Linked DNA regions of Oryctolagus cuniculus. The main gene of each other region encodes a partner of the protein of the gene in region 3 in a complex. Links are inferred from orthologs where the notes say so. Each region holds a gene or a part of one and is shown on either strand. Other genes may lie near its edges. The genes, in order: DLL4, POGLUT1 and NOTCH1.

Region 1 (3,945 bases), on a different chromosome or scaffold from region 3:
GCTTTCCTGTTTGATACCCTGTGTGTGCAGCGCAGGGAACAGGGAGCGAGGAGTGGGGCGTGGAGTGTGGAGTGTGAGCATGCTCCTGGGTCCCTGGCATACGCGTGCGGGTGCAGGTGCGGGTGCAGGTGCACCTTGTCAAGGAGAAGAGCAAGGTCAGGAGGGCTGCCTGCACTTGGAGCCCACTGGGTGGGAGGGGAGCTGGGAGCATCTGCTCAACTTTTTGTCAATGGCTCATTTTTTTCATCATGTGGCTCTCCATGGGGGATGTTTGTGGTTGTGAAGAGAGGGCGGTGGCACCCTAGGGACTATCCTGCACAGCGGAGGAAGCCAGGCATGAAGCAGAGACTGGAAGCTCCCTCCTTAGCACCCCAGCCAGAGGAACCTAGCCTGCATCTCCCCATCCCTGCATTCCTTAATAAACTCCTGCTGCCACCGCAGCTGTTAAGGGCAAACCCAAGGCCAACCCCCTCCTGCTCCACCCTCCTGGGGCCAATGCCCTGCCGAGCCAGCCAAGAAAGAGCAGGGCCCCCTGTCCACTACACCCTCCCGAGGGCAGGAGGAGCCACGGTTGAGACCCCATTGTCTGACAAAGGAAAAAACGAGCAGGACTGAGGGGTATCATGAGCACATGTAAGGCTCTTGGAGAGGAAGGGAGGACAGACTCAGGTGGGGGGGCATCGCCCCGGGGGATGGTGACAGCAGAAAGGGCAGGCCCACAGCCAGCAGGCAAGGAGTGCTGGCCGAGGCTGGCCACGGGAGAGGTGAGTGTGGGCTGCTCAGGCACTGGAAGGAGGCAAGGGCCGGGGTGTAGCAGGCCATACCCAGGTGCATGCTCAGGCCCCAGGGGCTCCTGCAGGGCACGGAGCAGCAGGGCGAGAAGGGGCCTTAGAATTCTTCGGGGTCGGAAGGTGGGGAGGGGGTTCCCATTCTGCCATCACAAAGACAGGACCCAAGCAGTCATAAGCTCCTGTACACATCTCTTCCATGTTATAAATACACATGATATACAAAATAACGTTATAAAATGTAGAAAGGTCAGTGCTTCTGATTCTTAAATTACCGAAATACTAGACTCCAAAATAAACTACAAAAAAAATAAAAACTCATATTATTGATTTCTGAAGATGGGCTTCTAGGGTTGTCTGGGGGCAGTAGTGGGCATGGTCAGAGCCCAGGTTCGAGGGAGGGAAGGGTCCCATCTCTCCCCCAGTGGAATGTCCACCATCATTGCCCTGAGCACCCCAGCAAGGCCTGGTGCCCGACGGGCACAAGGGCCAGGTCCTCTGCCTGTCGCTCCCAGGAGCTCAGAGGCAGCTGGGGCAGAGGGCAATGGGTGCCAGGTAAGACTTACCAACGTTCTTGCCCAGGGGGCTGGCCAGGGAGAGGAGCTGGGGGGCAGTCCAAGAAGGGCCCACGTGCGCTGCTAGGAGGCAGGGGCAGAAAGTGCTCCTCTCCCTGCGGGCCCTCGCCTCACCTGCAGGGCTACCCTTGCCAAAAGCCACACCTGATGGCTTTCTGGCCCCCTCTGTCCTCTCTGATTTGGGCCCGGCTGTCTCCACGGAGCCTGGGCGAAGGCACTTTTGGAAACACCAATGCCAGTGCAGGCCATGGCAGCTCCAGGCCCCCACAGAACCACCACCACTCTCTGGAAAGCAGGCCAGAGCCCTGGCTGGCAGGGCAGGTCCCAGTGGCACCGCTCCTCTCCTCTCTGTTCCCCTGGCTGGCGCAGCTGCCAATCTGATGCCAGACAGACGCCCCCAGGTGTTCAAGGGCATTGCATCTCTTGGCAAGGTCACAGTCTGTCGGGTTCGCACCATTCTTCCTCCTCCTGAGAGCAGCACGTTGCATATTTAAAGCGCCCCATCCAGGATGCAATGTAAACAACGCAGAAGGAAAGTCCAGCTGCTGGGCCGAAGCCAGGCTGTCCCGGGTAGGCCCCTGCCTTATACCTGGGGAGCGTCAGAAGGTAGGCGTGAGCCAAGGGCAGGCAGGGCTGAAGGCAGTGTGGGGCTGCCCACCCTGACACGCCACACCTGAACTGCGGAGCTGGTGCTCATGGGGTGGTCTGATGGAGGAGGCCAGTGGGAAGGGGCAGGAGGACCCAAGGCAACCCCCCTCAGCCACCAGCGGCTGGGAAGCAGCACCAGGGAGCTGGCCTAGTGCCACGGCTGCCCAGCACAGTGCCAACACAGTGGGAGAGACCAGGCCAGCCCTGGCTTATGTATCCTGTTTCACCCCCTCCATGGCAACAAAGCCAGCAGGGACCCGAAAGCCTGCCCAGGAGGCATTCTGACCCAGCCTCCAGGAGTGGCCCACGAGGTCCACAGTGACTGGACACTGCCCCCAGCCCCCACAGGGCAGGAGGGATGGCGGGCCCAGCACTCACCTCTGTGGCAATAACACACTCGTTCCTCTCTTCTGATATCAAACACACAGACTGGTACATGGAGTCCCTGGGGGGGCATATCGCAGATATCCGACACTCTGGCTTTTCACTGAGGGAACACAAGACGGGGCGCTGTGAGCAGAGGGTGGGGGTGGGGAGAGGCTGGGGTGGGGATCGGGGAGCCCGGACCCTAGAGAGCTGGGGCGCTTGCAGAAGCGGCACTGGGCAAGACCAAGGGGCTTGAGCAGAGCTGGCCTCACCAGGGAGGTGGGTGGGAGGAGGCCCCTAGGAGAGCCCCAGGACTCCCCAACCTTAGGTCTCAGGCCTGGGAAAGCGTGGCACTGCCACTGGAAGCCACAGCCACGGAGGGATGGGAGTCAGGACAGCCTGTGCACACCTGACATCTGTGAATGAGCCCACAAATGGGGAGGGAGGGCAAAGGGTCCCTGGCAGAAATCGTGTTGGAGGAGACGCCTATCAATAGCCAAGGGCCTGGGCCAGCTCCCCACTCCCTGGGAGGAGCCCAGGCAGGCCTCTGTCGGGATGCAGGGCCAGGCCCAAGGCCTTCCGGGTAGCTCACCTGTGTAACCGCAGTGGCACCTTCTCTCCTAAGCTCTTGTCGCTGTGTAGATACTTCCCAGGCATGGTGCCCCGGCCCAGGGGCCCAGGGGCCAGGTTATAGTCCAATGTGTGGTTCTGCTGTTTGCCACAGTTGGACTTGTCCAGGCCACAGTCCACTTCCAGCTCCTTCTTCTGGTTTGTGTTCTTGAGCTGGGCAGCGGGGATCAGGTTGTCCTTTTGGAAGTCCGACAAGTTGTTCATGGCCTCCCTGCCACCATCCTCGGGCCGCCGGAGCCGCAGCTGCCGTACAGCCACCGCCACCATGCCCAGCAGCACCAGCACTACGACCAGCCCCACGCCCAGGGAAACAGCCACCCAGGGGAAGCTGGGCGGCAGGCCCACAGGGAACTCGCAGCGGCTGCCCACGAAGCCGTAGGGGCAGTTGCAGACGAAGCTGTCCGGGGAGAGGCCGGTGTAGCAGGTGGCCCCGTTGAAACAAGGCCCAGAGGCACAGGCATCTCCGGGTGCCTGCACCTCGCAGCGCCGACCAGAGAATCCGGCCGGGCAGGTGCACACAAATCCATTCTCCAGGTCATGGCAAGTGCCACCGTGGGTGCAAGGGCTGCGGGCACAGTCGCGGATATGGAGCTCACAGTGGGTGCCTGTGAATCCGGGACGGCAGCGGCACATGTGGCTTGGGCCTCGGTTCAGGCACTGGCCCCCTGTGAGAACACACGGGGCGCGGGTCAGCAACAGCCTACAGGTCGCCGGTGCAGGGATGGGGGCCCATCGTGGGGACAAACTAGGTCCTTCTGGCTCTGTGAGCACAGGCAGCGCTGACAGAGCCCACTATACCGCCAGGACCCAGAGCACAGAGTGACTCTGCCTCCCTACACCTAAAAGCACTAGCGTCTCACAGAACTTTCGACTCAGACGCCTTTGCTCCAGTTTGGGGAGCAACTGTCTCCCTCCAGCTGGGGACCTGGCGCTTGTAA
Region 2 (3,760 bases), on a different chromosome or scaffold from region 3:
TTACGAGAGCAGACCTTCCCAAACTTCACCCAAATCAATTCTCATGCTGTCTGCAAGTCCCTTTGATAATACGAGATCAAATACCCCTACATTTAATCTTCAAGAGTTGGAAGCTTTGTTACTCCATACTGTCTGTCAGGTTTGGAACTAGCATCAGAGTACTGTTTCAAATTAAATATCTCTTACAGCCTACTTGAATAATAATCTAAGAGTATAGGAGGGGTTAAAAGGTTCATGGAAAAATATAAATGTGTATTATTAAAAAACGATACATGGATTTCAAAATTTTCATGCAATAAAATAACTTATTTGCAGCAGAGAGAAAAAGCCCATCCTTGCGTTCACTCTCCAACTGCCCACAATGGGAAGGGCTGGGCTGGGGCTAAAGGTGGGAGGTAGGAATTCAATCCAAGTCTCCCACATAGACAGAAAGAATCCAATTATTTAAGCCATCACCACTGCCTCCTAGGGTCTATACTGTCAGGAGCCAGAAGCCACAATCAGGAATCAAATCCAGTTACTCCAATATGGGAGACAGGCATTTTAACTGCTAAGCAAGCACTTCCTTCAATAAACTTATCTTTCAGCTCCACTTTTCCATGAACTTTTGGAAGTGTCCTCATAGATGCAATCAATAGAAGAGAAATAAAGCTTTCAATAGAGAAACTCATCTGGACTAAAAGCCTGAAATCACTGGAAAGTGGGGGTGGGTTGCAGGGTCATTAGGAGTTCTGTCTTAGGGATAGCAGCTTACTGGACATTGGAGAGGTCTGTTTTCACTGGGATATAGTGCACCCATGGCTTCAGTTGTGGATAGAAGAATTCGAGCCACTCTTCACCAACATGGAAAACAAGTGAACCACACAGGAAGAGGTGTTTGAATCGAAAACTTGCAGCTACCCCCCGAAAATTAAACAGATACCTGGGGAAAAGAAAGAGCAAAATAAATTTGATATTCTGTGCCTGCTGTCAGAAATATGGCCTTTTTTCATATTCCTTCCTCCCATTCTCTCCTTTTACCATTCCTCTCCCTTCCCTTTCCATTTTCAGTTTTCAAGGACAAGCAGTATGTCCCTGTGGGGCTTCCATAAACCCCTTGCTTTTCTAGGGCTGGGGCTGCAGGTTGTTCTGGGAATGATGGGTGAAGATAAAACAAGGGTACTTTCTGTAAACAGCTCGTTGGGTGGTGGGATACAAGGAGACAAGGGAATATGACGGTCAGAAGGAATGACAGATTTGGGACATATTTGAGAAAATATAGCAATGTTCAGTGATATACATCAAAATCAAGAGCGAATAAAATTCCAAAAGCTTCTCTAGGCCAAATGTCTGCAACCAGTCATAGCCCCCAAAGCCTGGTTTCCCTCTAGTGTACTCCATGTGCTCAGAGGTGCCCCTGGTTTCCTGGACATTACCCTCTTCTACAGTCTGTAGAGAATGAGCTGATCTGGTCAATCATCAAAGAAATGCCCCATGGAAAAAGCTATCTTCAGAAACAACATTTTCTTTGCAGCATTACTCAAGCATGTTCCGCTGTCTCCCACCAGCGTTGCTTTTATCCTATAGTTCCCACTGGGTGTGCAATTGGCATTCATACCTCTGAACCTCCTCGCTACCCTCCTCCAGACCTGGCTTAACCTCTTCATCCAAAATTTTCAGTCTTGGCATTTAATTATAATATTTATTAATCTGAGATAGGACTTCAACTACCAGTTGGTAGGACGTGGGGAGAAGTAATCCCATCACTTTAATGACTGGAAGGCTTCTAGAAGCAGAGACCAACCACGTTTCATTCCTCTCAGTCCCTACAGTACTCAGGTCGGTGCACAGTAGGCCTTCAATAAAAGGCAACTAAATAGAGCACCAGCGCTGTGGCATAGTGGGTAAAGCTGCTCCCTGCAGTGCCGACATCCCATATAGGTGCCGGTTTGAGTCTCAGCTGCTCCACTTCTGATCCGGCTCCCCGCTAATGAGCCTGGAAAAGCAGCAGAAAATGGACAAAGTATTTGGGTCCCTGCACCCATATGAGAGACTCAGAAGAAGCTCCTGCCTCCTGGCTTCCACCTGGCCCAGCCCTGGCCATTGAGGCCAGTTGGGGAGTGAACCAGTGGATGGAAGCTAGATCGCTCTCTCTCTGTCTCTCTGCCTTTGCCTCTCTCTAACTTTGCCTTTCAAATAAAAATAAATAAGTCTTTTAAAAAAGCCAGCTAAATAAATTAATACAACTTTCATATACCCCAAATAGGCCTTGATATGAAAATCTTCCCCCAAAGTGAAGCTATTTCAAAGGCAATACAGAAACTAGAAGTCTTACTTGTATTTGCAGTGATCTACAAGATGAACATCCTTAGCAGCTGGCTTCCCCAAGGTATCCTGTAATAGAAAATAAATACTTAATATTGATATTTACTGGCAATCACTGGGCAGCAAGCACTGAGGAACACTTCATCTAAGTACCTCACTCAGCCTCATAGTAAACACACTCGGGACGCATTATTATACCCATTATATAAACGAAGAACCCAAAACTTCAAGAAGTTGAGAGGGTTGCTTAAGGTCATATGGCCCTAAGCAGAAGAAGCAGAGATTTTAACCTAGGTCTATTTGGTTCTAGAGTTTAAGTTCACCTGACGCCATGCTGCCCTCCTTTGAACTAAGAGGTCACAGCCTGTAGCACATTTCACTCTAAATCACACCCAGAAGGGCACGAGTCTGGCTGGTGGGTTGAGAAGAGGCCACGCACAAATTTTGCTGGGCATGCAAAGTAGTTAAAAATTATTCAGACCATTACTAACATTTATAGGTGGCAAGCTATTTCTTGCAAAAATTCACATTTCCAACTTTTCCTGGATGAAAAAAGCCAAGAAAGGTCTGGCAAACGGGGCTCCTACTCCCACCCAGCAGCAAGCGCCTGGAGTTGTTTGTGCTGTCTCCTGCTCATACCTTTCTTTTCTTTTCTTTTTTTTTTTTAAAGATAATTTATTTCAAAGTCAGAAGTACAGACAGAAAGGGAGAGACAGAGAGCTTCCATCTGCTGGTTACTTCACAGCAGCAGGGGCCAGGGCTGGGCCAGGCTGAAGCCGGGAATGTTTCCAGGTCTCCTATGTGGATAGCAGGGATCCAAGAAACTAGGGCCATCTTCCGCTGCTTTTCTCAGGCTTTTTAGCAGGGAGCTGGATTGGAAGTAGGGCAGCTGGGACACGAACCAGTGCCCATGTGGGGCACCAGCTTTACCTGCTATGCCACAATGGTGGCCCCTCGCTCATATTTTTCTATCACCTGCTGCCCTAGAGTATTTGAATGTGAGACCCCCAGGTACATTCCATCCACTTTAGCAGGGGAGGAAGTCTGGTTGCTTCTGGTAGATGCTAACAACTTGTGTGCGGAATGAATACATCTTTTTGGGGGGAGCCGGCGCCTCCAGTGCCAGCATCCCATATGGGCGCCGGTTCGAGTCCCAGCTGCTCCACTTCTGATCCAGCTCTCTGCTATGGCCTGGGAAAGCAGTGGAGAATGGCCCAAGCCCTTGGGCCTCTGTACCCATGTGGGAGACCCAGAGGAAGCTCCTGGCTCCTGGCTTCGGATCGACGCAGCTCTGGCCGTTGTGGCCAACTGGGGAGTGAACCATCGGATGGAAGACCTTTCTTTCTTTGCCTCTCCTTCTCTGTGTAACTCTGATTTTCAAATAAACAAATTAATAAAAAAATACTTTTTTTACTTGTATTATTCAATAAAGTTTCTTAAATTCATTTGCTCCAGT
Region 3 (4,951 bases):
GTCAGCACCATGAGTCCAGAACTTTCCAAGCACGGAGCCGGGATGGGGCCGGCGGGCTCGGGAGGCCCCATGCCAGCTGCCTCCTTGGGAAGAGGGTGGGATTCTCCCCTGGGCCCCCATGGGCCCCCCGTGGGCTCTGGCCAACTCCTAGACAGACCTTCCGGGGCCTTCTGAGAAGGCTGGGCGGGAACCGGGAGGCAGGGCGGCCCACGGGGGGGGGGGGGCAGTGAGAGTCCCCGGACCTGCGTCCCTCGGAGGCCCTGCTGCCCAGGGGTGGGGGCCTCTGCCCACGGCGCTTCCGTCCTGCCTTCCAATTGGCTCTGGGGGGTGGCGTGGGCACAATGAGGCCTCTGTGGCAGAGCTCGGCTGAGCGCCAGGCCCAACTGAGGCAGGCTTCCCGCCGGGCCCGGGCAGGGGACTCGGGGGGCGCGCGCCCGGCACCGCCCTCCCAGGAAGGTTCCCAGCCCTGGCCCGCGGAGCGCCGAGCGCCGAGGCAGCGAAGGGCGTAATTAATCACTCGGCATTAATCCGCCTCCCCAACAATAGCGGCTGCGCGGCCGCTGAAGCCCAGCTGTCGGCCCCTGAATGAAAGGAAACGAGATTTAGGGCCGCCAGCGTCCGCGAGGCTTCTGCACGGGCAGGGCAGCCCCAAAAGCCAGGGGGTAGAGGAGCCGGCATGCATTCATTAGTGCCTGACAAAGACACAATCCGCTTTGTCCATTAAACTGCACGCAGACGGCCTAATTGGCTTCGGCGTGGGGGGGGCTGCCGGCCCACAGGCCGGGCACCGGGGCGGCAGGAGCCGCCGGGGTTGCCACGGCAATGGGCCCTTGGGCGGTTGGAACGAGGGCGCCCACGGCTGGGGAACTCCCTCCGGTTCCAGACGCCTCTTCGTTATTCTGGTCAGGGACGAGCTGAACTTGACGGGCGCCGGCCGGGGGCCGACGGGGGGCTCCCGGGCAGGCGGGCGGCCGAGGAGGAGCACATTCCAAGACATCCCGGCCTCCGCCCGCCCACGCCACCCCGAGTCTGGGAGGTCAGAGGCTGCAGATGCCGAGACAGGAAGCAAACTCCCCGCAGGCGGCCCCACATCCCACAGCCCCAGGAGCTGGGTGCAGCCCGGCACCCCGGGCCCAGGGAGGGCTCTGGGCCGAGCAGGGGGTGGGTTTTGTTTGGAGCTGTTTCCTGCGCAGGGGAGGCGGCTCCCCGGGTGACACAGTGGGGGAGGACACACAGCACCCCCCCACACCCACCGTGTCCCAGGGTCTTCAGGAATCAAGGGGCGCCAGGGGTCGCCCCTCGACCCCGAAGCACACTGAGACCTCCAGCGGCCAGACCCGCGTGCGGCATAATTGCTGGTGATTAAGTAATTGCCAGGCTGGGTCCAATAAAAGTCAGCACGTGACCCAGCCGGCCTTCTGGGCTATCCCCAGAAGACAATGGCCCAGTGTTCCGGGCCGCAGCAGGCAGGGGCTCGGCTCCCCACCAAGGCAACAGGTCCCCGGCGCGACGCGGCGGTACTCACACGCAGGCCTCCGTGCCGTTGGCCACTTCACACCTGCCACCATTCATGCAGCTCTCCCCGGGCTGGGAGCATCTCGGGCCTGGGGAAGTGGGGGAGAGAGGGTGGTTACCGGGGCTTCCCGAGGGCCCACCCCTCGATTCCGGGGCATGAGCGTGGGGTGGGGAGCGGCCGGGGCCACAGCCCGCCCCGATGAAACCCGGGGGCTTCAGTGCTCTGGCCCAGGGTCTGTGCCCAGAGGTGGCCAGGCCTGGGAACAGGTGGGCGAGGCCAGCAGGTGAACTGGTGGGGAGGGGCAGCTGGAGCCCCCCCCAAGCTGGGTGCTGGGGAGCCCTGGAGGGCGGGGGCCCCGTCCAGCCACCCAGATTGTCTCGTGCGAACGCGATCTGCCAGGGCAGCCCCCACTCGTGGGAAAATGCGACAGCTGCGCCCCCGCCGCCCCGCCCGCCGACAAAGCGCCAGGCGCGGAATCAGAGCGGCCCATTGTCGCCGGGGCCGCCTCCGGGGCACGGGGACAGCGCCCGGGGCCGCCCCGCCTCCGCCGACACCCAATACCTGCCCCCGCGGCGGGCGTCTCCAGGGGCAGCCCCGCCACGGCCCCCGGAAGGCGGCTGCGGAGCGCGCGCGCGCGACCCCCGCGCGCGGCTGCCACGGGACGGGTGTGAGCTGGAACCCACTTTTTGGGAGGGGGTACCGGACAGGTCATTCTCACGCCCCGGAGTTCCCGACGGGAGCGCGCGGGAACCAGCGCCCCAGCCCGCGCGCCGCCCCCGCGGTTTCCAAACTTCAGCTGCGGAGAGCGACCGAAAACTCCAGTCCCGCCAGGCACGGGGGAGGCCTCGGCGCATCTCCCACCCCCACGCACCCGCCCGCGAGCCGGGCTGCGCGACACGCGCCGCGCGGCCCCGGACCCCGCGCCCCGCGCCCCGACATCCGGGCGCAGCAGAGAACACAAGCGGCCCCGACAAGCAACAGGAAGCCAGAGGGACTCGACTCAAACCGAGAAGCGGCGGGCGGCCGGCGGCGCGCCCCGCGGGGCCCCCACGGCCCCACGCCCGGCTCCGACCCCGACCGCGGAGCGGCGCCCCGACGAGGGGCGAGCGGCAGGGGCCGGGCCGCCGCTCCCTGCCCCTCCAGGGCCCGATCCCCCACGCGCGCCCGCGCGCGAAGTTTCCGGGGAACGCGGGGAGTTGCGGGCCGCGGCGGGCGGGCGCCTACCTCTCGCGGCCAGCGCGGGCAGCAGCGCCAGGCAGAGCAGGGGCGCCGGCAGCGGCCGCATGCCTGCCCGTCGGCTGCCCGCTGCCCCGGGCGGCGGCTCCCACGCACACGCGCGCCCGACGGTGCGGCGGGCGGGTCCCGCTCCCTCCCGGCCGGCGGCGCGCTGCGCTCTCGCAGTGTCCGGGCCGGCTCGGCGGCCGCTCGCCCCTCCGCAGCGCCCGCGCCCCTGCGCTCCCGCCCGCGGCCGAGGCACGAGTGAGGCGCGGGGCCGCGCCGCGCTCCGCCCCCGCCGGGAGAGCCGCCCCCCGCCCCGCCCCGGCCGGCCCCGCCCCGCGATCCCTCCGCACCCCGCGCCCCGTCGCGGGCCGCGCGTCCCTGCGCGCGCGCCCCGGGCGGCCCCGCGCCCCGCGGCCTGGGGCGCGCGTCCGGAGCCGGGCGCTGGGCGGCGGGGGGCCGCGGCGGCGCGGGGCGGGCGGCAGCGGGCGCCCGGGGACTACTTCTCGCTCTCAAGTTTTCGGAGGCCGAAAGTTTGAGCCGGGGCTGCGGAAGGATCCGCCCGGGCCGTCGCCTCGCGCGGCGACAGGGGGGCGCGATTTGCATCTCAATAGCCGAGGCGGCGCGGGCGTGGCGGGGCAGCTCGGTCCGGCGGGGCGCTGGGCCCTCGGAGCTGGGCCGGAGCGAGGCCTGGCGCGGGGCTCGGTGCGAAGCCTGGCTGCGTGGTTGGCCCGGCGGCTGCGCCCTCCGGGGCCTCGAGGGTAACAGCCCGGAGGATGGCGCCCAGACCCCCCACCCCCAACCCCGGTCACGATGACCTTGAGGGCTGATGGCGCCGGGGCCCCTGGAGAGAGGGGCCAGGGCCTGGCGCGGGCACGCGGTGGTGCAGGGAGACCCGGGGCTGTCACGCGCACAGCTGCTCCCACGTGTCCCGTCGGGCGGCCGGTTTTCCGCGCGGCAGTGCTAGCGCGTCCCAAGTGTGCCTGCCTTGGCCAGTTCACGCCGCAGCCGGGGCAGGGGGGCGCAGAAAGCTGGGAGCCGAGCGGGGCAGCCCTGGCCCAGGGGGGCGCACGCAGGCTGGCGCTCTGCGCACCTGACCCGCTGCCTTCTCTGGGCACACCTGTCTCCGGGAGACGCGGCGGCTCTGCGGCGGGGGGCCCGCTCCTGCCTTCCCAGAGCCAGAGCTGGGGTAGCACCTCGGGGTCAGCGCCCCGGAGGCAGCGCCGCCATGTTTATGTAACAGAGCCCTGCAGCCCATAGAAGGAAGAGCCGGGCTGCGCGGTCCGCACCCGGCGCCGCCCCTGCTCCCGCCGGGGTGGGGAGGGGGCCGGGGCTTCCGCTGGAGCCCTGCAGAGTCCCTGATCCCTGGGGCGGCCTGAACGGAAGGAGGGGAGCCCTGGCCTGGGGTCCTCCCCAGCGCTGCGGCCAGCACCTCCACTCTCAGCCTCTGCCCTCGGCCGGCAGGGAAGAAGGTGGCAGACCACAGACAGGGCCCTGGGTGTGCAGTAGGAGGGAGGCCCCCAGGGCCTGGGGCTGGGGCACCCACGTGGCAGGGGCTGGGCCCTCATCCACGCAGGAATGAGGCTCTGCGACCCCCGAGCCCCTCTTTACGGAGCCAGGGGGTGGGGGCTGAGGAAAGCGGTCCAGACCAACCAGGGCCACGTCCTGGTGGCAGGGCCTGGAGACCCCCTCTGCCAGTGCAGGCTGCTTGGTGACCCCGTGCTGGGGGGGTTGGGAGCCGACACCTGGGCAGGGCGTGCGGGGCAGCCAGGCCTCCTCTGTGGGAAGCCGCTGAATGGAAGGGCCTGCCGTTCCCCAGGCTGCCCTGGGAGCCGGCACCACCGAGGCGGGGTGCATCGGTCACTTCCTCCCCTTCAGACACGCCGGGGCGCCCTCGTCAGGGCTGGGGTGGCCGGGCTGGCACTGGCCTGGTGTGAGGGGAGAGGCCAGGCCCGGTCAGAGCTGAGCGCAGCTCTGTGGACGTGGAAGGTAAAGGCGTCCTCGCTCGGCGCCGGGTGCACGTCTGTGTGTGCTCACCCTGCACTGTGAGGCCAAGCGCAGCCTCTGAGCGGAGCCGGGCACTGCGCACGCAGGGGTGGGGGTCAGCTGATGGGGCCGTGTGTGTGTGTCTGTGTGTGTGTGAGTGTGTGTGTGTGAGTCTCTGTGTGTGTGTGAGTCTGTGTGTGTGAGTCTCTGTGTGTGTGTGTCTGTGTGTGT

The links.
Region 1: the proteins of NOTCH1 (region 3) and DLL4 are in contact, whole or in part, in a crystal structure (PDB 4XLW), measured with the Rattus norvegicus proteins. The link is inferred for Oryctolagus cuniculus from reciprocal best matches to the Homo sapiens genes NOTCH1 and DLL4. Residues at the interface, in NP_001099191.1 of Rattus norvegicus: Glu415, Leu418, Ala420, Asn421, Pro422, Glu424, His425, Phe436, Pro447, Arg448, Glu450, Ile451, Asp452, Leu468, Asp469, Gln470, Ile471, Ile477; in XP_006234827.1 of Rattus norvegicus: His65, Thr76, Phe77, Asn109, Phe110, Thr111, Pro113, Tyr180, Ser186, Arg187, Leu188, Lys190, Arg192, His195, Phe196, Tyr199, Lys216, Tyr217, Asp219.
Region 2: the proteins of NOTCH1 (region 3) and POGLUT1 are in contact, whole or in part, in a crystal structure (PDB 5UB5), measured with the Homo sapiens proteins. The link is inferred for Oryctolagus cuniculus from reciprocal best matches to the Homo sapiens genes NOTCH1 and POGLUT1. Residues at the interface, in NP_060087.3 of Homo sapiens: Asn454, Glu455, Cys456, Val457, Asn459, Pro460, Cys461, Gln462, Asn463, Asp464, Ala465, Cys467, Gly472, Glu473, Phe474, Val485, His486; in NP_689518.1 of Homo sapiens: Met103, Phe104, Pro105, Ser106, Arg107, Asp133, Gly170, Pro171, Ala172, Val173, Trp174, Pro178, Thr179, Gly180, Thr214, Asn239, Gln240, Ala241, Val274.

What each region holds. Positions count from the first base shown.
Region 1 is NC_091443.1:64,066,827-64,070,771, reverse strand, and holds the end of DLL4 (delta-like protein 4), read right to left. Parts: intron 3,673-3,945; coding exon 2,970-3,672; intron 2,499-2,969; coding exon 2,390-2,498; intron 1,953-2,389; coding exon 1,947-1,952; 3' UTR 969-1,946; downstream 1-968. UniProt on the Homo sapiens protein: Involved in the Notch signaling pathway as Notch ligand. Activates NOTCH1 and NOTCH4. Involved in angiogenesis; negatively regulates endothelial cell proliferation and migration and angiogenic sprouting. Essential for retinal progenitor proliferation.
Region 2 is NC_091435.1:75,996,695-76,000,454, reverse strand, and holds part of POGLUT1 (protein O-glucosyltransferase 1), read right to left. Parts: intron 2,374-3,760; coding exon 2,315-2,373; intron 923-2,314; coding exon 755-922; intron 1-754. UniProt on the Homo sapiens protein: Dual specificity glycosyltransferase that catalyzes the transfer of glucose and xylose from UDP-glucose and UDP-xylose, respectively, to a serine residue found in the consensus sequence of C-X-S-X-P-C.
Region 3 is NC_091432.1:236,551,340-236,556,290, reverse strand, and holds the start of NOTCH1 (neurogenic locus notch homolog protein 1), read right to left. Parts: upstream 2,986-4,951; 5' UTR 2,802-2,985; coding exon 2,741-2,801; intron 1,605-2,740; coding exon 1,526-1,604; intron 1-1,525. UniProt on the Homo sapiens protein: Functions as a receptor for membrane-bound ligands Jagged-1 (JAG1), Jagged-2 (JAG2) and Delta-1 (DLL1) to regulate cell-fate determination.